Oryzias latipes: one gene and its partners. The protein of the gene in region 2 binds, or shares a complex with, the protein of the main gene of each other region. Links are inferred from orthologs where the notes say so. Each region holds a gene or a part of one and is shown on either strand. Other genes may lie near its edges. The genes, in order: rad1, rad9a, hus1 and rhno1.

Region 1 (5,040 bases), on a different chromosome or scaffold from region 2:
AGAAAACATGATTCCCCCCGAATTTTTTTTTTGTAATTCTCCAAGTTTTCCTCCTGAAGAAAATGTTTGTCTCAAGTGTATTACAACAATTTATGAACCGACAACTTCTGCTTTGTTTTAATTTGGCAGTAAAGCAAGAATTAATTGTTGTGATGTGTGTACCGGTACATTAAATAAGACCCAAAAGCCTCACCTGTACAGCTAACTGTTCACTTCAAACACCTCAAATACTAAACACATCCAATAAATAGGAAACTCCTTTAGATTTGAGCATCAACTTTACCGACCTTCCCCTCATATCAGGAAAATGGTACGTTCCTCTGCAGAGCTAGACGGAAGATAAAAGGGGGACTTGGCTGCATGTCAGAACTGAAAAGGTGTCATCACTGCATTTCTAATCTTTAGAAATGACCTTTTAGTGCCCCTTCTGGTTTATTTGTTTTGATTCAGTTTCTGTTCAGACGGCAAATACCCACATTACAAGACATTTAGTCAAGACTTTAGCTCAAAAGCTTGCGTTAAATGAAGCAGTCATCTTTCTATGTTTGCATTCATCAGACTGGGATTGCCTCCTGACAGAGTTCCTCTTCTTGGCTGTTTTTTTTTAAGAGCAACTGGAAACCACTGCAGTTAAAATGCTAGTTTGGGTCAGTCTAAATGTCATTCCTCCTCCTCCTCCTCCACCTCCTCATCAGGACAGTAGTAGAATTCCAGAAAGCAGATCTGTCCGTCATCATTCCTGACCAGGTACTGCTGGGAGAGGAGGCCCCTGTTGTCTGTCCTCACTGAGACCTTACAGGACAGAGCCAGGGCTTTGGTGGACGGCTTCAGGAGGGACATCTTATATCTGTCATGATTCATGAAACAGAAGAAGACATGAATGATGAGCCTTTTTTTCCCTCTCTGTTATATGTAAGGTGGCAGATGTTTAAACAAAAAGAATAGTTGAAAGATGTTTAGGAGAATCTTCAAAATTAAAACATTTTTGAAATGTTTTTTATTTCAGGTCATCTTTTGGCTTTAATGATGCACGTTTCTTCTGATATCTGCACATACCGGTTCGTTTGCGTCATGGTGCATTGAAACAGCTCCATCATGTCCGAGTCTTTGGAATAATCATAATGTGCATTTCCAGAGTTCCCAAATGTTGACAACCTTAAACAGATCAAACAGTAAAGCATTTTTTAAAGCTTAAATATATCATATCTTTTTTTGCTTTCTGATGAAGGCAGACTGTTTATTCAGTGCAGGAGAACAGCAAGCAGGTTTTAGCAGCTCACCTGAAGTACGGCTGGCTGGGGGACATGGTGATCTGAAGCACATCACTGGTCATGTCCAGTTCAGAGAAAGCTTCCTTCAGACTCTCCGACTGCAAAATCACCTTTAAAAAGGGCATTTTTTTCCCAAAGGATTTCATAATAAACACACAAATGCGAGACTTCAAGCTACTAAGCACCTGGATGTAATTAAGTAAGATATTACTTTCACTGTTTTTTCTAATTCAATTAAAAAAAAAATCATCTTTCAAAAGATGAAGCTTTTTCACAAAAAGACAAATGATGACGGGAACCTTATTTGTAACGTTAGTGCTGCAGAACTCAAAATCCATTGGTTCTTCAGGTTCTTGTGTGTTAATCTTGCAGACTGTCACCACGCCCCCCTCCTCCAGGAAGAGAGTCAGAGGGTATCCATAACCTTTGTAGCACATTCGTAAGGCAGTAGAAGTTCCTGCAAAGTCACAACAAAAAAAGATCTAAAAAGGGTTGGAACTAAGTTTGAATTGTGCAAAAAAAAAAAAAATTCTTTACCTGCTACTGCATTTCCTCCAAAGATATTTAGGCAATCCAGCAGAACAGTGAGGTTGATCTGAAAAGTCACCAAATCTTCCTTAAGGGTGAACTCCTGAAAGATCTCTGTCTGGAGTGAAAACAGAACAACTTCTCTTCAGTCAGGATTTCGAATACAAAATTGATGGATGCAAATCCAAAAACAAAGACTGCACACACACCTGGATGAATGCATTGGCTTGAAGACATTTGGAGTCCTCCACAGTGACCTTTAGGCCGTTGGGTGTTGCTGTGAAGACTGCATGATCCTTAAAAGTGATAGCTTTTAGGATGTTGGAGAGATTGCGAGCGTTGTCCAAACTGGCTACTAAAACATAGTGTTCCTCATCGTCCTGAGACTGTGTGGACAGAGGCATTGCTCTGCTGAAAGACAAAAACAGGTTTGCAAGAATCTAAAACAAAACAAATACACTATTTATTTCAGCAAAAAACATTTCAGCTTTCTGGGTATTAATGCCAACATATTGAATCTATTTGATGGACATTCGGCAGGTTAATTCTGATAGGACTGAATTTAATTAAAACTTATTATTCGGGATTAAAAATCATTAGGAGAAAAAATTATATTACTAATATCAATATTTCTAACATTAGAAAGCAACCTTTTTTCTAATTGTATTTAATGATCACATAATAAGGTTTGAGGAATCAATGTTGCATCAAGAAGATGAGAAATGAGATCATTAAACTCAGCTTTAATGAGAAAACTCATTAAAGCTGAGTTTTCTCAACTCAGCTTTAATGTCTAAAAATTAATCAAACTCTTCAAACTGAATTAAAATATATATTTCTTTAGCTTCTGATGTTTATTTTAGCTGTTGTGAATTCACTGAAATTCCTTAATTAACGGTTTTATTTTGCATTGTGAGGTAGTTCAGAATGATGACTTTACTGCTATCAAATTAGCTGCTAATAGTGTTTCTGTCGTATGTTTTTCTTAAATAATATTTTCAGAATTTCCTTCAACTTTGCCATGTTAATAAATTAGCTGTGTTAGCTAGGCTACTTTTTCAGCTTTGCAGCTTGAGATAAGGAGTAATAAACGACACAAAAGCAACTTTTACCTTTTTTTAACTTGCTTTTAAAGGGGTGCTCCACTGATCTATAATTGTCCTGGTTGGTTGGAAAACTGCGGACATGTATCGAAGAAATGCGCCCGATTTGTAGCAACTTCCGGTTTGGTCTTCCCTCAACGGAAGTTGCGTTTCTGTGCGGCACACTATGTTCCAGAGATTTCGCTCCTGAGTCGAAACTGAACAACTCTTCGTGACCGCAACAGCTGTCTCTACTAAGGCCGGTGGTTTGTGATCGTATTTAGAAAAAAGGGTAAGTTTATTGAAATTATCTGGCTTGACACCATGTCTGCTGGTTTTCCGTGTTCGTTATGTAAGCCGCAAAAAGAGCACGAGAAGTTGGAAGCTAACTCACTACGTACCGGTGAGACATATATTTCTCTAGAACTGTTTCCCTCAGGGAAAAAAAAAATACTAGAAATAGATACATGTCGTTTTTAAATAATGGAATATATATTAGATAGATCCGAAATAGTCCTTTAATAAAGCTGAATAACTGAGGCAGCTAACTTAAGCTTCATCAACTTTGCTGACGCAGTTCAAGTTAAGCTAGCTCATCAGGCTGTCTGTCTAACTGTCAAATGTTTATCTTACTTTTGGGACTACAGCGCCACCTTTTGAGGCTTTGTTCTCCTTATATTTTTTTCTTTTAATTACTCAATTTTCCTGCTGCTTTAAAGCAATCAAACTGAGTTGGTCAAACAAAGTTTGTTAAAATTGTTTTTGGACAAATGGTTTTTTAGGAGTTTTTCCTTACCGCGAAGGGGGGTCTAAGGGCAGGGATGCCAGTATAGCTTAGTCAGTTTGTTAGTTCTTTTTAGTATTTTCCTATTGAACTCTTTGTATTCATGATCCTTTTGAGTTCATGTTTTACTTCGAAGCCCATCGAGATGACTGTTGTTGTGATTTTGGGCTATACAAATAAAATTGAATTGAATGGAATTCAAAGGTAGAGCAGCGCTCAAATCTCAATACACGGTCCACAAATGGACACAAATAGATGAATCAAACTTTGTGGCAATATGATACAGTCCAAATCTTCTACCTAATTGTAGACAATGTATTTATTATTCATTTATAAAACTATAAACAAAATGCCAACGAGAGAAACTTACTTACTGCCACTTTTTACTTTTATCAATTAAGCAAAGTCCTTAACATAGAAGCTTCAAACATAAAGACTTGGTATTCTGCGTCTTTAATATTGATTTTCCCCTTGTGGTTATTTGATTTAGGCCTTGTTTGCAGTCCTGTGGGGAAAAAAGGATTGTAATATGTTTATAGCACACAAAACGCATCCCTCCCTGTAGTTCCCCTTTAGACAATTGTAATTGGCCCGACCAGGTAGAAGCAAGCTTGTGATTGGACGTCTTTTTATTTGTATCATTTGGACTTTAAAGTCCCACTCAAATCATCTTTGTGATCTTTTTTAAAAGGTTCCCAGTGGCCTCGTTATTATGACGATGCCGTTTTAGTCACACACAACAAACAAACAAAAAACCTGTGTTGTTCTTAGAATTCACTTCTAAGTTGTGGGCGGGACCATTAGTGCGGAGTAAGCCTTCCTCCACTTCCCATCATCCATTTGTTTACACACTCATCTGCTAGTTTACAGCCTTTTACACCAACCTAACATTACCAGTGGCAGATGCCAGCCTTGACAAGAAAAACAAGGACGTAGATGGACGCATAGGAATGGAACGGCGAAGGGAGTGTGTGGTGTACTTTGGCACCTGTGTCACAAGAACACTAAGAACACTGTTTCCATTGGACTGTGTTTTTAGAACGGCAAAGGCAGTAGAGAGCACAACAGGAAGAGAAACTGACAAACTGTATATTAGAAGCCTATTATTTACTTCCAGATCAATTTGATATATTTTTACCAAGATAATCTTGTTTGTATCAGTGGTTTTCAACCAATACTGCTATTACTCCCAGTGCTGCATCTATTTTTTGATATATATCCATATCTTTTACATCCCTAAAAATATAGTCAATGGTTCAAGCCCCTTTTTTAATGTGCTCTTAATTTTTTACAACAGCCTAATTTTTTTACTTTAGTCATGTGGTCGTACTAAGCAGAAGTAGCCTTTACCATGATGGAATGCAAACACGCAGGT
Region 2 (4,966 bases):
AGAGAAAAATAATGAATGCACGTGTGTCTGAACATTTACAAAACAACATATCCTAACTGCTTCTTTTAAAAAAGGGTTAAAGGTTAGACATTGATTTGCAAAGTGATGTTACTATTAGGTGAGCTTTCACACAGCAGTGAGAATAGGCGTATTTGGCCCCTTTTGTTATTATCTACAACTGCCAGAGGAAGGAAGCTAAGAGGTTTGAAACATTTTCACTCAGATAACCACAACATTAAAGTTGCTACATGGCAGCAAAGAGATAACTTGAAATCAAGAAAACGGGTTTTAGCTCAAAAACTTTCACTTCTAAACAGTTAAATCGGATAACAGTCGGTAAGCAATCATACATATTCCTATTCTTAAAATTGAAAAAGAAATAGATTGGGGGAGTTTAGGAGTTTGAAAAAATAATAATAATAGTCGTACAAATGCATCGTATGACAGTCAAGATGTCAAAGAAGGGAAATAAAGGGATTTTTTTTTCTAAAAGGGGACAAAAATATGTTTAATGACTAACCAATAAAAGTAAGCTTGGACTGCCAAACTTAACAGGACGGGTGAAAGCTATAAGTGGCAGATTAAAGCAAATCATATCAATGTCATAAATCTTTCATCTGATCACGTTTATATTAAAAACTTTAATTGCAATCCACCTCTTTATTTTTAGAGCACCTTTCATCAACATGCTTGACATAAAAGTCATATGTAAACATAGGTTAAAAAGTCATAAAAAACAGTAGATTAAAAGCTTAAAAGATAGAAGGGTAAAAACATACTAACGATAACATAAAATACTGAAAAGCCAAATAAATAAATAAGTTAATTATATGAGTTACGCAGTGCTACGTTAGAATGATGCATCTTTAATTTACATTTAAAAATCTCCACGGATGCAGAAAATGTCAGATCTGCAGGTAAGTTACTCCACAGATGAGGAGCACTGTACTGAAAAGAGGCCTCGCTGTGAGTCCTGGTTCAGATTAGAGAGCAGGACCTGAGGATCTGACAGTTCTGGAGGAAGGAGTATGGAGATGTAATTGATGCTAATAACAACTAAATGATTACAAATATTACTAACAAATAATGGTCAAAGTATGTTTTATTGGGAAATGTACTTAATAAAGGACAAAGAAAAGTACTTGGAGTCATCTGATGATGAGCTTTGGGATTTTTCACAAAAAGATAAGCAGATTCACTTTCATTGGTAAACAGCTTGAGAATCCACCTTTATTGCTATCTTGCAGCGGAAGTTTCTCCCGTCGGGAATCGAGTACCTGCACAAAAACACGGGCAGTTGGAAGCTGACTTGCATCACTGACACGATCTGTGATTGATTGAAACGAGAGCGGAGCGTGCACCTGCTGAAGAAGAGTGGTGCGAACAGGAAGCAAGCATATGCCGACCGAGAAGAGTTCACAGACCGCAGCGCCAGCTACAAGAGAGAGATGCATTCAAATCAGCACCATTCGTCGACGCAAACAGGAAGTAAGCAAAATATATACATGATGGTTGGTAGGAGGAAGTGCTGGTGTTTCTGACAGCGTCAAAGCAGCTCACCCCGTCTTCCTGGGGCTCCACGTACAACTCATCACCGATGCGCGACAGAGAATGGATAGCTTTGGCCAACACTATTGAGTGGACGCACGCGCCCAAACAGGTAATAACGACAGCTTTGTTATTATTATCAATGGTAGTAGCACAATTGTGTTTCAGTGACAGAAAAATCCTGGTCTACCTTTCACGTTTCCTCCCGTCACGACACACTGCATTTCTGCAAACGAACTTTCCCCGTCGAGTTAGTCTAAAATGAATCCAAACTAGCAGCTGTGCAACACCATCGAAATAATTAAGGGGGCTTTCGTATGTTGCACGTACAACACAGACGCACTTTCTAAACTTATGCTTAAATGTTAGTGGAATACCAAATGTTTTTTTAGGAGACTGCAAGACAGTTGAGCCAAACCTCACGTTGTTTACGGCGCCACAAGCTGCTTCCGCACAGTTGACCAATCAGAGTTACTGAATTTCGAAGAGGGCGCGGCTACACCCATGCACATGCGCAATAGCTTTGGTGTTTTTACTATGAAATTTCTTTACGTCGACACTCGCAGTATTAAAGGATTCAACCTGTCTTTACAACTTATAAAAATATTATTATTTTTTTATTTAACAGACTCCGAAGCAAAGTATATAATATATTTTTCTGATAGACGGACAGCAACTTAACTGTGTCCACTCCGTCCACCACAGCCACCCACTATCACTCAATATCACTTTCCACTTAACATATTACATCAAATTCGTCTTTTTAGTCTACTTCTGTTGAGGTGCCCACTCCCCCAACACATTACACCTAAGAGCAAAGCAATGTCATTTCAGTCATTTAAACTAAAACAGAGAATTTGGTCCTTTAAAGGCTTTTACCTTATTAAAAAGTGCAGTATGTTTCTTTTGACCCTCTTCAAGCTTTAGGTGGTTACAGGTGATCAAGTTCTTCACCTTCTTTGTCCTCTTACTATGACTAGATTTCTTGAAAGAACTTGTAAAGCTGCAGTCTTTGTTGTAGACTTTGCTTTCTTTGGCATGATTCCCACACATTTTGGGCTGTATTCTGGAAAACAATACCAATGTGGAATAATTGTAGGTGTTTTTATAAAAATACAGGTAATATCCTGAATAACTGAAGTGTTATTATCTGTTTCTTAAAGTTTTAAAGATAATTCTGTTACTTTATTCTGTTTTTGTGCTTTTTATGCACGTTTATTTCACATATAGGGAAAAGTTGCTGTAGTTCAAGTGGTAAGTTTGACTCCCTGCCAACAATGTCAAGTTTTTGACATTGTTGGCATTTAGATAAAATGAAAAAACAAAAGTAAAGGGTGGAGGTAAAATGGCATTTTCCAAAAAGCTGACTTTTTGTGTCATGTTTCTTCTTCTGTTTAGAAGTAGCTACTGATCTTACAAAACCTCACTGTAATTACTAGCTGAAACCCAAAGTGGAGAAAAATAGTGCATGTGTAAGAGAGCCTGAGAGAAATAGGACGGAAGGGCAAGCTAAACTGGCTGCAAAGCCAGAGTCACAAAGGGAGTCACAAAGGGAGAGTCACAAAGGGAGAGTCACTGGGAAAGCAAAGTTATCTAACCTCACTGGTTTTACGTGTTGGTTTGCTTCAGTGCGTGAGATCTGAGGAACGCTGTCGAGAACCACCTCTCCTCTGATCACCGCTGACAGTAGTGGCCGCGAAAAGAAGAAGAGGTGGGACTAAACTAATCGCTGTGGACATTCAGTGAAAGATATCTAATGGATACAAGAGGACTGCCTTCGGGAGGTGCTGGCTTCTTTTGTTAAAACGAGGAAAGGAGGACCCCTACTTCATAAAACCTGAGGATTCTAAGTGGAGGAAATTCAAAATAACAGGAAGACATCAACAAAAGAAGTGACAGGACGTTCAACTGACCGTTTGCAAAGAGAAAGTGTAAGCATGATTGAAACAGACCAGAACATCCCAAAAAAGGGACTTAGTCCTTGCAGGATGTTTTTTATATCAAATAATTGTGACATTTCAATTTTTCTAACATGGGTTTCAGCCTCAGTACAACAGAAAATGGTGTGATACCTTTGCTAGTTTAGATAAAAAGAGGATTATTCGTTTGTACACACTGTGACTACATCTAAATGTGACCTTTAGAGATGTCTCAGTCACAGCAACAGACAGACACGCAGGCCATGCTGCAGTCAATGCTTCAGAAACTGAAGCTCCAGCCAGGATCAGAAGGCCATGGATCCCAGCAAACATTTGCCGTGGATGCTCCCACACCGGTGCAACATCATGAAAAAGGATTGTTCCCTCCACAGGGGGTCAACACCAGCACTGTGGAAGTGTTTGGTTTCAACGGAAGTGCCTTAAAAGAGTATGGGTCCCCCACTGACTTTGGCTTTAGTGGTGGAAAAGGGAAGCAACCAGGTCCTGGCTGTGAGGTGAGCAGTCCAGTTTCCTTCCCTTCTTTTAATTTCAGTGCTGTTAGCAACAAGAGCAAGAGCTGGGTGCTGGAACACGCCACTCATCCTGGGGTCACACCAGCAGCAACGTGGCATCTGTTTCCTGCAACATCACCAAAGGACATTGATCTCACTTCCTTTAAGTCCACTAATGGGGACACAAGCACTTTTGGAAACTTTACAATGACTCAACCCTTCCTTGCTAATAAGGAGACTGCTTTTAATTTGAGATCCAATCAGACCACAGTTCAGGGTTTCACACCCAAATCGCATGTGTGGTCCAAGAAGGGTACTGATGCTGACAAAGACAACAAGGAGTTGAACACGGGGAATGGTGCAGGTTTGGACCAAAGTAGAGGCTTGCACTTTGCAAGTAACCAAAAACCAGCAGGCAGCAGGAGAAAACAGAGATCAGAATCTGAGAATAATACCAAAAAGAGATGGACACAGAAAATTAAGGAGAGACTAAAGGACAAACAAGGGAACAATGGCAAAAAGCCAAGAGAAGAGGGAAGCACGACAGATAAGATAGCCGAGCAAGAAACTCAGGTGAGTAGGATATGTTCACTTTTCTTATTTCCTAAAGTCAAAATTTCAAAAATAAATCTTTAGATGGAAAATTGAGGATTTTTAATTGACAAATTTTAACCTCAAAACAGCAACGGGTGGAGGATCTTTTTAATACATCAAACTCGGATGGGAAAGGGGCTCTTTCCTCAGTGGGCAGCAGCATGTTTCCTGTAAAAACAGAGGACAGCACAACTGACAGCAGTTCCAGGTAATCAATTGACTCCAAAAAAAGCGCAAGGGTTTTAGCTCCAGTAATAAAGCACCGAACACTCACAGTCTGTTTGCAATGTCTCTCAAAAAGCCATCATCACAAAGATATGAAAGGAATTTAAGAATGTTTCCATGCCAGTACAGTTACTAGATTTTTCCCCCCTCATTAATGGCCTTGACTTA
Region 3 (4,946 bases), on a different chromosome or scaffold from region 2:
CTTTATCTGGATGAAGATCATTTACTGGACTATGTAAACTTGTAGTTGAAGAGTGAGATAAGCTAATTCTCTCTAAGAGTTCTGGTACATTGCCTGTCTGTCCTGGGGGAGGATCCCTCCTTCATGTGGGCACCCCTGAGGTTTATTTGTTTTTTCCGGAATCTGTTTATTTAAGGAGTTTTTCCTTACCGCCAAGGGGGGTCTAAGGACAGGGATGCCAGTTTAGCTTAGTCTGTTTGGTTAAAGTCTAGTATTATCCTATTGAATTCTATGCCCTTATGATCCTTTTCTATTGTATGTTTACCTTACAATTACCGGTACGAAGCCCACTGAGACGACTGTTGTTGTGAATTTGGGCTATACAAATAAAATTGAATTGAATTGAATTGAATTGATTTGAAACTGCTCCGTCGCTGCGTGAAAAGATGTTTGGTGTGAATGCAGCTCAAGGTAGCAGCTAGCTCACATCCCACTGATCCACGTCAGCCAGTCACGGTTCTGATGAGCGGCCCAAACGCCAAGATCCGGGCCAAAACAGAGAACAGAATGCTCACAAGTGTGGACAGCAGGTGTTGCTCAAAGCTTCAAATAAACCCAATGGGATATCATGATTATGAGAACCGAGATCATCTATACCGTAAAATTATCTAAACCCAGAAGAACCAACCTGAACCCTGAGACTGGGAGATTGTTAGTAAGCTTTTATGAAAATCACAGATCTTCCCTGAAGACAGTTTCTCCTAAGCTGAGGGGTCAAGTGCTCAGAGCAGGACTTACCAGCTCGGCGCAGACAGTCAGACAGGGGCAATGCTTCTTGGTAAGTTTGACTTTAACAGATTTGGCATTCTGGATCGTCTTCAGGGCTCTGGACAGGTTCTCTGGAGCCAACTCCAGACAAATCTCATTGTTCTCTGGAGAAACGCCCTCCATCTGGTACTCGTCGAAGAAGTTAGCCTGCAGTAGGTTTAAAATTGCTTAAAATATTCTTCCTGCAATGCCAAATCCAAACCAAAAGGTGGCGTTGCTCACCTGTGACAGCTCACACCACATGCTGACTCCTCCATTGGCCACTTTCCCTGACAGGACAAAGAAAAGGTTGTCCGGGTTGAGCCGCAGCACGCACGTCTTGGTCAGCTTGGAGATGGTGGTGACGACTCCTGGAGGAAGTTAGCAACCACTGTCAGTCCTGAGCACACACTGAACCCGTTTACTCCACATGTTCACCATTTCCTGTTACTCAGGGCTCCAGACTGCGACCATTTGGTTGCATTTTGCGACCAAAATTTGAGAGTGTGCGACTGAATTTTACATCTAGCATGTGCTAGATATCTACCAGTAAATTTGCCTCCCCCACCCTCCGTATTTTTTATACATTAAACGTGGAAGGGGCACGTCAATGATCAATGAAATGAGCAATGAAATAAACAATGAGACGATTTAGTCTTAGACGCACTTAAAACACGTGTGGAAAATGCAACAATAGTCGGGTTTACGATAAACCAGCGCCCTGGGGGGGGGGGGGGGGGGGGGGGGCATGAAGGCGAAGCTGCAGCGAGACTGAAGGAGAGCAGGAAGTTGTAGTCCTTAACATTCAATTTAGTTTTAACATGCCTCTCCCCTTAAGTATGATCTGTGATATTACATCTTTTATAATTATTTTAATGTTTTGGAATGTATGTAGCTTTTTTTAATCAGTTGGTATTTTAAATTATTTTAATTGATCAGTGAACTACAAAAAACCCATCAGGAAGCATGTCCCATAATGCATCGTTTTGTAGTCTGTAGGGCAGCTTTCAGTCAGTTCAGTGCTAAATTTCTAGCTGCGTTCGCTCAGGTTGAGGTCTTGCTTCCGCCCCTTTCTGGTGATATTTTTGTTTTGATTGACAGGTGATGTTGAGGAAAAACAAAAATATGTCTCACACCAGGTGATCTGTGCAGCGTTGCGTCCATCTGGGTGATCTCAAATTATTGTGCATCTTGGCTGCACCTATTTGGTGTCGCCAACATGAATTTCCATCCCCTAATGTTTACATACATTTAAGTATTGTTTGAAACTGTGAAATGACCGAAAGGTTACTACGGTATTCACTTGTTACTAAAAACTTTTTTTTAATGTATGGTATTTTGTTTACTATTTGTACTGTCATGACAGCGATGGTGCTGTCAGTTTACCTTGTTGCATCTTCAAAAGTGCAGAATAAAATATGACACTGAATTTGAAACAGCACGTTGTAATTTCGGCATCTATTATAAAAGTATTTATTAGTAATACAGTGGAAATTAATAGATTTGGTTAGCATGTTGATTTACAATATGCGCCCCTAAATTTTCTGGTTGTGGCCCTAAAATTTTCAGTTGGGGGCAACAGTGCTCCTAGTGAAAAAAGTTAATCTGGAGCCCTGTTACTGGATGTTTTCAGTCAACAGTTGGACAGCAAAATGAGATTTCCTTTACCAAATAACACCAATTATTCGATAATAATACGGCAGATTAACACATTTCTCCTCAAAACAGGCACATTTATTTATGTTTATTTAGTATTTTTTTATATCTGCACTCACTGGGTTTACCAGATAAGTGAAGTCAGGTTGTTTAAGCCAACTGCAGTTTTCTCTTTTAATACATTTTCGTTTGTTTCAAACTACTAGTTTCTAAAGTCAGTCTCTGGTTGCTATTATTGGTCACATTATCAATTAAATGTTAAAATATTTTAAAATGTTCGTCAAAAATAATTTAATTGAACATAATTGAAGGGCTTACTCATACATTTCAGGTACAGAAACAACAGAAATGCACACCTGAGGTTAAAAGCCCTTTAAAAATATATTTACAGAACTCCTATTCCCAACATGCAACGCGACACGACAAACGTTTTAAGTTTTTCAAAGTCGTCATTTAAGAGAATCATATTAGATTTATTTGCTGATCAGATTGAAGTGAATTTTTACACATACGAAATTTATAATGTGAATGAAAGTGGCTCGTAGATAACTGAATGTGACATCGTCGGCTCTCAGTTTTCGGTAGTTTTTTTTTTTTTTTTTTTTTGCTGTTTGAAGTGACTCACGGGTGAAGTGGTTCAGACACGCCACGTCCACGATCTTCCCCCGAAACTTCATCTGGACTCTGAGACCAAATACTGAGGTTTTCTGCTAAACACAGCTTCTGCGCATCAAACGCAGGCGGGAAACCATTAAAGCGCTCTGTCTTGGTTAGGTCCGTCTGCGTAAAATGTTCCCCGGAAACAAAACAATAATAGTTCCTGTCTGAACAGATACATAACTTATAAATCCAGAATATTCGAAAGTTGTTGTAAAAACTGAAACGAATTAGACTTGGTATTAAAAGGATAAATCAATCTTTATTTATACAGCACTGTATGCAGCTCAAAGTGCATTAAAAGTGTGACTATATAGTCAATGGTTAAAAATAATGTTGCAAAATTTATACACACCTACGCCCACATCAACAAACAAAAAAATAAAGATAAAATCAAGTCTAAAAATGTTAAAAATCTTAAAAGAAATTAACAAAAAAAACTTCTCACACAGGAAGAAAAGGAATAGGTCAAAAGTTGAACTGATTGTCAAAAAATAAATAAACACAATGTCAAACTTTAATAGCCTGCAGCAGTAATGAAATCCCAAATCTAATTAACAGACTCAGTAAGTTATAAAACCCTCTCAGAACTAACAAGTTTAGTTGAACAGCAAATGATCTGCTCCTCATGTCTAATAGATGATTAAAAATGTCAGCTGTGGTCCTTCAGAGACACAGGTGCATTCCCGTGTGTTGTGGTTATGATAAAGGTTAGAAAGGTCAAACTCAGTACAGAACCGTTGAGAGTTTTGGACGACAGGTCTGTGTGGGAATTTGGTTTTGAGCTGTTCAAAATTTTTAGTTTGTTGAAAATTACACAGTTTACGTGTATTTTGCATAGTTTACACGCAATTATTCTTACGCAATTGTGTGTGATTTTTGTGAGATGTATATGCAATTTTGTGGCTTTGCACGACCATTCCACGTATGTCTAACAGACTTTTCACGCATGTATAACTTTTATATCACGTCTACGGCGCACATATCACGTTAAAATTACTTTATTGGCGCACAAATCACTAAAGAATTCCATGTAAACGGCACAATGATCACACAAGGTTCATGATCTACAAGTCCTGGCTCCTCTGGCTGTTTGTTTCACCTGAAACCTTCAAAACTTTGGTCCTTCAAGATAGATTTGTGTGATGCTTGAGTTCAGTGAACGGAAGGAACAGATGGACTGTAAGTCGTCAGTAACTAAAGTAAATTGAATAAGTAAAGCCACATTCTGCTCCATCCTGATGTCAGACAAATAGATCCAAAGGTTTCTGACTGCAGAAATATTTCACTGCAGATCTTCTTTCCCTTCTTTCTTTTAAATATTTGCTGCATTTGTTTAAAAAGAAAAAAATGGTCATAGGTGAAACAGCAGGTCTTTGTGGGTGATTAGAGAAAGGCTCAGTCCTCTTTACCCAGAACTCAAACTTCAGCACGTTGGACACCATGTTTGGTCTTATCATCTGAAGAAGGTCAAACATTTTCACTCTGAGGGCAGACTGGTAAAAAGAAAACCTCCATGAGAGAGCTCTTTGTTTCCTGTCTGATTAATCCTCTTAAGAAGCTGCAGTTTCTGTTTGAAACAGGCTGGAGTAAAGGGTTGGAAGCTGCTGGCTGAGGTACAACTGTGTGTTTCAGATTAGGAATCTTTTTCTTCTTCTTGGAGCTCAATTCATCTTTATCTTCAGGCATGAGTCATCTGCTGAAGGTTAACCTGACGCATGCGCATGAGGTTGATTGGTTCTCTGTCCAATGACAAGCCGCCGTTTTACATAAAGTGCTGGCGTGCCTTCGGACCTTCATCTCTCCTCCTCCTCCTCTTTGTTGACTGGCGCGAGCATGGCGCCGCT
Region 4 (3,912 bases), on a different chromosome or scaffold from region 2:
AGGTGTTTGTCTGAATTTTAGTTTGGACTGTATAAAAATCCATGATTAAAAAAATATCTGACATCCAATTGAGCATGCGCGTAGGGTTTAACTCAAATATTATAATAATCTGTTCAAATATGCAAAAATTAAATATTTTTACTTAGGCGAGGGGGGGGGCATTTTCCGCCAAAAACACCTCAAAATGATAGATGAGAATTTATTTTACACGTAATATTTACATGAAGCTGGTATGTTCCTATAACTGTGGTTGTAAATGCGTTCGCTTGAAAACAAGCCAAACACACAGAAAACAAACGCTGGGATTTATAACTTTCCCTGACCGGTCCTTCTTCCAAACAACCGTTAAGTCGCAACTCACTAAAAAAATCAAACTAAAAACATTCTCAGTTAATTGTCATCAATTCTATAATTATCAGGAGTTGAATATCAAAGCTACCGTACAACCGTTAGAAGCTAACGTTAGCTGCTTCAGCCCGTTTTCCGATGTTTGCGATGCCGCGTTTTATCAAAGTTAAAGGCGACACTTAAGTTTTCCCAACACAATTCCACGGACACGAGCGGGATTTTCACGCCACAATAGACAAAACTGAAGACCAAAGAAGTCCGTGAATAAGTAAGGATGTATTTTCAAGGCTTTACTCTTACCTTATGCTGTAATAACTCATGTTTATGCACGGTTACTAAGGAAAAGGCTCCTCGAAGAAAAACGCTTTTTGCGGACGCAGGAGCTGCGGATGAATACTCTGCCTTGGCAACCAAGCGGACCAATAACGAGCACTCCTATTGGCCGGCTGTTTTCCTAGAAGGAATCTAATTGGTTTACATCTGGGGAAAAGGTGGGAACAATAAAAGGTTTTCTCTAAAACGAAATGGGCTTCAAATGACCATCCAGTATGACTTAAATTTCTAATATGTGTTCAAAACTTAGAAAAATAAATAATTATTAATCAGATGTCAAATTCATTTATTTTTCATTTGATTCTTGTCAGGCAACATCAGGAAAAAATAATATTATTTGGGTGTGCAAGAGAAATGAAAAAGGATTTTTTACAAAAATTAAAAGATTTATGATAGAATAAACTTAAGTGACTAATCGAGGAGGCCCCTTTCCTTTAATATGATCATCAATCCCTTTCTCCTCCTCCACGTCACCTTCACCCCATAGTCCCTCTCTGGTGTGTCGGAGACCAAAACATTAGGATGAAGATGACACTGCGGGGAGGAGGGATCAGCCAGCAGTGAACAAACAGGGGGAGACATGGGGCAACTGTTCTGCTTCATTGTTGGAGTGTCCACTTCAGGAGGCGGGTCAACATTGCCAAGTCTAGGGCTACTACACCCACCGGGTGGAGTTCTGCTTTCCTCCGTTACCTCTATTAACTGATTTTCAGGTTGGTGCAAATATTCACTGTGAGATGGAGCTCTGTTTAAAGATTTTTGAGGATTTCTTCGTCTCTTAGGTGCAGGTAAAACTGTCCTATTGCTTTGACATGATCCCTGTGGTTGATCTTCAGGCATTGACGTCACCTCTGCCGCTTTCTTTGTGCGCTGTCCACTTGGATTATGGGACTTGTCTCTCTCCGCCCTAAGAAATAATAACGATGGGTATTTGCACACTTTGTGTTTCCTGGACAGCTCGTTGCACGTGTCAAGAATCCTTGTGACGGACTGACAATTTCTTCTTCCTCGTCTAAATGGAGGTGTAGCTGAGATGTCAAACTGGGGTTGAACCTGAAAGGTTGGGAAATTTATAGTTAAGTAGACTTTTTTGCCAGTTATCTAATCAACTAAATCTATATTTGTAATGTTTTATATATTTTTATATATTTAAAAGACTTTTACCCAGGAACTGAGAGCTGAAGAGCTGTGTGTCTTGGAGAAAAACTCTCTGGGATTGAGAGCAGCTCTGACTTCAGGCACATTTTGAAGTCTGGCGCCACTCACAGGTCGCTCCAGGAATTGCAGTGCAGGCTTGTCTGTCTTTGCCGCTTTCCGGGGCATCAATTTAAATCAATCTTAAGCATCTGTTCAAAACAAACAAGAGACAAATCCGATCGAGTAATCTTGTTAACAATACACATAGCTTTAGTCGTAGATCGAGGCTGTTTACATATTCGCATTCAAGTGTTTACTTTTGAAACGCGTTCTTTACTTACCATATTGTGCTTTTTCCGTGATTATGTGTCCATGTACGGAATACGGAATAAAAACGTTCCCTTATTTTTCGGTTCATTCAGACCTTTTTATCTTAGCTTGTCCGTGTTGTTGTTACTTTTAATTTCCCGGATTTTTTCTTTGTCTTCTTCGGGTTAGCGGCTGGCCATCTCGAGCTGCGGCCCACAGCGCCACCTATTGAGCCGCCCAGTGTTTTTTTCTGCGTTTACTATTGGTCCATTGTTACCATGTGATCAAAGTGACAGTCGGGGCAGCGCCCACAGCGCCAAAATTCAAAACTGTTTATGGATTGACTTTTTGTATCTAATTACTACTAAATACGTCGGTTTTGTGAATATTTTAAATGTTTTCTTTGATCCGACAAGTGGAATTGAAAGCCGAACCAAGCCTGGAATTGAATGAAACGCTGCAGTAATTCAGTAATGTGAAGGTCTGGCTTCATTTTTCCACTTGTTTCCTCCATCGTCAAACAGCTTTAGCATAGCTAGCTTAGCCTAGCTGTAAATAAAGGAAACTATACGCTAATCGGGACATTGGCTAGGCGCATGTTATTTTTTGAATTTATTTTTTGTTTTATTGATTGCATTGTGTTAACATGTAAATATATGTTGCACTGAATATCCACTAGATAGACGTTATTGAAATTAAACCTATCATCAACTGAAAATTATAACGACTGGCATGTCGCCAAGGGAACCGAATAAAATCTTCACTTTCGAGCGAGGGACTGTTGGGACTTTTGCAGCAAACAGACAGCAATAATCGGGTTTCTTTAAGTTTGAAGACGATATCATAGGATTGAAACATCATTTTTGACCGATTACTTCGTATTCTATTAGCAGGTATGTTGTTTTCAGGCTCACTAGTTCGGGGTTATCGTTAAAGTCAGTATTTAAACGTTGTAACGTAATGTATTGATAAGGTGTTTAACTTCTGAGTACTTTTTGAGCCATAACTGTAGCTCAAGACCTTTTCCCCCTCCCCACAGATTTCCATTGAACACCTAAGGCCCTTTGGATGATTTGAACCATGAGACGGAGCCCAAGGAGACCCCTGATCCTCAAAAGGCGCAAGTTACCTTTTCAACAAAAGGAACCCACCCCAGCAGACCCATCCAGGCAGTCCGGTGGCTCCAAAGAGCCGTCAAATTCCAGCGACAGTTCGTGCTTCCCAGACGGGGTCCGCTTTATAGGCCACCCATCCCTGTCAGACACTCAGGTTGTGGTCATTCCCAAAGCTACAGACGTTCAGAGTGTAATTAGTGTCCTCGCCGCTAAAGGCAAAGACAGCGGAGTTCAGGGTCCGAGCAAGTTTATTCTCCTGAGTGACAATGGCAATCAGGATCAAGCCGGATCTTTCTGTGAGACTGCTACTTCTGGAGGAGATGCTGTTTCCACACAAATCCCATCTCAAGAACCAGCAACAAAAGAAAGCACTCACACATCCCTTGATGTGACTGGCATTAAACCCTGTAAGGAATTTGCACAGAGTTTAAAATTTTATGTCAGAAATGCTACATTTAACTGAAATACCTGCTTCAATATATATATATAATTTTTTTTCAGTGAGTAAAGATGGGAATAGCGGCCCTTTGGATGACAGCCTCACCAACATCCAGTGGCTGGGCAAAATGAACACATGTGCTCTAGAGTCAGAGCCTGCAAAGCAAATACAAGGCAAGGAGAACCAGGCTCCCGTGTCTCAGACTGCTCAGGTCAGCTGTTTGTCTTTTTT

The links.
Region 1: the proteins of rad9a (region 2) and rad1 are in contact, whole or in part, in a crystal structure (PDB 3GGR), measured with the Homo sapiens proteins. The link is inferred for Oryzias latipes from reciprocal best matches to the Homo sapiens genes RAD9A and RAD1. Residues at the interface, in NP_004575.1 of Homo sapiens: Leu76, Ser82, Val83, Ser86, Leu90, Lys92, Leu112, Phe116, Gly117, Val118, Arg119, Lys120, Thr121, His122, Asn123, Leu124; in NP_002844.1 of Homo sapiens: Glu165, Ala166, Ser168, Glu169, Asn195, Ala196, Gly197, Ser198, Ser199, His200, Leu201, Asp202, Tyr203, Pro204, Asp206, Ser207, Glu211.
Region 3: the proteins of rad9a (region 2) and hus1 are in contact, whole or in part, in a crystal structure (PDB 3GGR), measured with the Homo sapiens proteins. The link is inferred for Oryzias latipes from reciprocal best matches to the Homo sapiens genes RAD9A and HUS1. Residues at the interface, in NP_004575.1 of Homo sapiens: Leu157, Pro158, Pro161, Val176, Ala186, Lys191, Ala192, Met193, Val194, Thr195, Glu196, Met197, Cys198, Leu199, Gly200, Asp203; in NP_004498.1 of Homo sapiens: Thr84, Asn87, Arg90, Ala91, Lys93, Thr94, Phe110, Ser121, Ser123, Ser126, Arg127, Ile128, Val129, Thr130, His131, Asp132, Ile133, Pro134, Ile135.
Region 4: the proteins of rad9a (region 2) and rhno1 are in contact, whole or in part, in a crystal structure (PDB 8WU8), measured with the Homo sapiens proteins. The link is inferred for Oryzias latipes from reciprocal best matches to the Homo sapiens genes RAD9A and RHNO1. Residues at the interface, in NP_004575.1 of Homo sapiens: Val41, Ser44, Arg45, Ser46, Ala47, Tyr48, Glu130, Leu132, Gln133, Ala134, Val135, Glu165, Tyr181, Glu183, Thr216, Phe217, Cys218, Gly244, Pro246, Val261, Leu262, Ala263, Thr264, Leu265, Ser266; in NP_001239428.1 of Homo sapiens: Thr88, Lys90, Phe91, Pro92, His93, Leu94, Thr95, Phe96, Glu97, Ser98.

What each region holds. Positions count from the first base shown.
Region 1 is NC_019870.2:9,821,642-9,826,681, reverse strand, and holds rad1 (cell cycle checkpoint protein RAD1), read right to left. Parts: upstream 3,068-5,040; 5' UTR 2,915-3,067; exon of another isoform or gene 2,912-2,914; intron 2,213-2,911; exon of another isoform or gene 2,210-2,212; 5' UTR 2,204-2,209; coding exon 2,009-2,203; intron 1,918-2,008; coding exon 1,809-1,917; intron 1,729-1,808; coding exon 1,571-1,728; intron 1,382-1,570; coding exon 1,281-1,381; intron 1,156-1,280; coding exon 1,057-1,155; intron 848-1,056; coding exon 661-847; 3' UTR 414-660; downstream 1-413. UniProt on the Homo sapiens protein: Component of the 9-1-1 cell-cycle checkpoint response complex that plays a major role in DNA repair. The 9-1-1 complex is recruited to DNA lesion upon damage by the RAD17-replication factor C (RFC) clamp loader complex.
Region 2 is NC_019868.2:13,973,225-13,978,190, forward strand, and holds the start of rad9a (cell cycle checkpoint control protein RAD9A), read right to left. Parts: upstream 3,099-4,966; 5' UTR 1,773-3,098; coding exon 1,739-1,772; intron 1,661-1,738; exon of another isoform or gene 1,632-1,660; coding exon 1,561-1,631; exon of another isoform or gene 1,442-1,560; intron 1,436-1,441; coding exon 1,362-1,435; intron 1,278-1,361; coding exon 1,229-1,277; intron 1-1,228. Other genes in the region: uncharacterized protein LOC105354882, read left to right, coding at 3,695-4,552, 4,663-4,781. UniProt on the Homo sapiens protein: Component of the 9-1-1 cell-cycle checkpoint response complex that plays a major role in DNA repair. The 9-1-1 complex is recruited to DNA lesion upon damage by the RAD17-replication factor C (RFC) clamp loader complex.
Region 3 is NC_019878.2:4,319,934-4,324,879, reverse strand, and holds the start of hus1 (checkpoint protein HUS1), read right to left. Parts: upstream 3,407-4,946; 5' UTR 3,120-3,406; coding exon 3,068-3,119; intron 1,158-3,067; coding exon 1,030-1,157; intron 955-1,029; coding exon 778-954; intron 1-777. Other genes in the region: cell death activator CIDE-A, read left to right, coding at 4,936-4,946. UniProt on the Homo sapiens protein: Component of the 9-1-1 cell-cycle checkpoint response complex that plays a major role in DNA repair. The 9-1-1 complex is recruited to DNA lesion upon damage by the RAD17-replication factor C (RFC) clamp loader complex.
Region 4 is NC_019881.2:18,846,369-18,850,280, forward strand, and holds rhno1 (RAD9, HUS1, RAD1-interacting nuclear orphan protein 1), read right to left. Parts: upstream 2,324-3,912; 5' UTR 2,160-2,323; intron 2,028-2,159; 5' UTR 2,005-2,027; coding exon 1,846-2,004; intron 1,735-1,845; coding exon 1,093-1,734; 3' UTR 972-1,092; downstream 1-971. Other genes in the region: foxm1 (forkhead box protein M1), read left to right, coding at 3,208-3,649, 3,744-3,892. UniProt on the Homo sapiens protein: Involved in microhomology-mediated end-joining (MMEJ) DNA repair by promoting recruitment of polymerase theta (POLQ) to DNA damage sites during mitosis.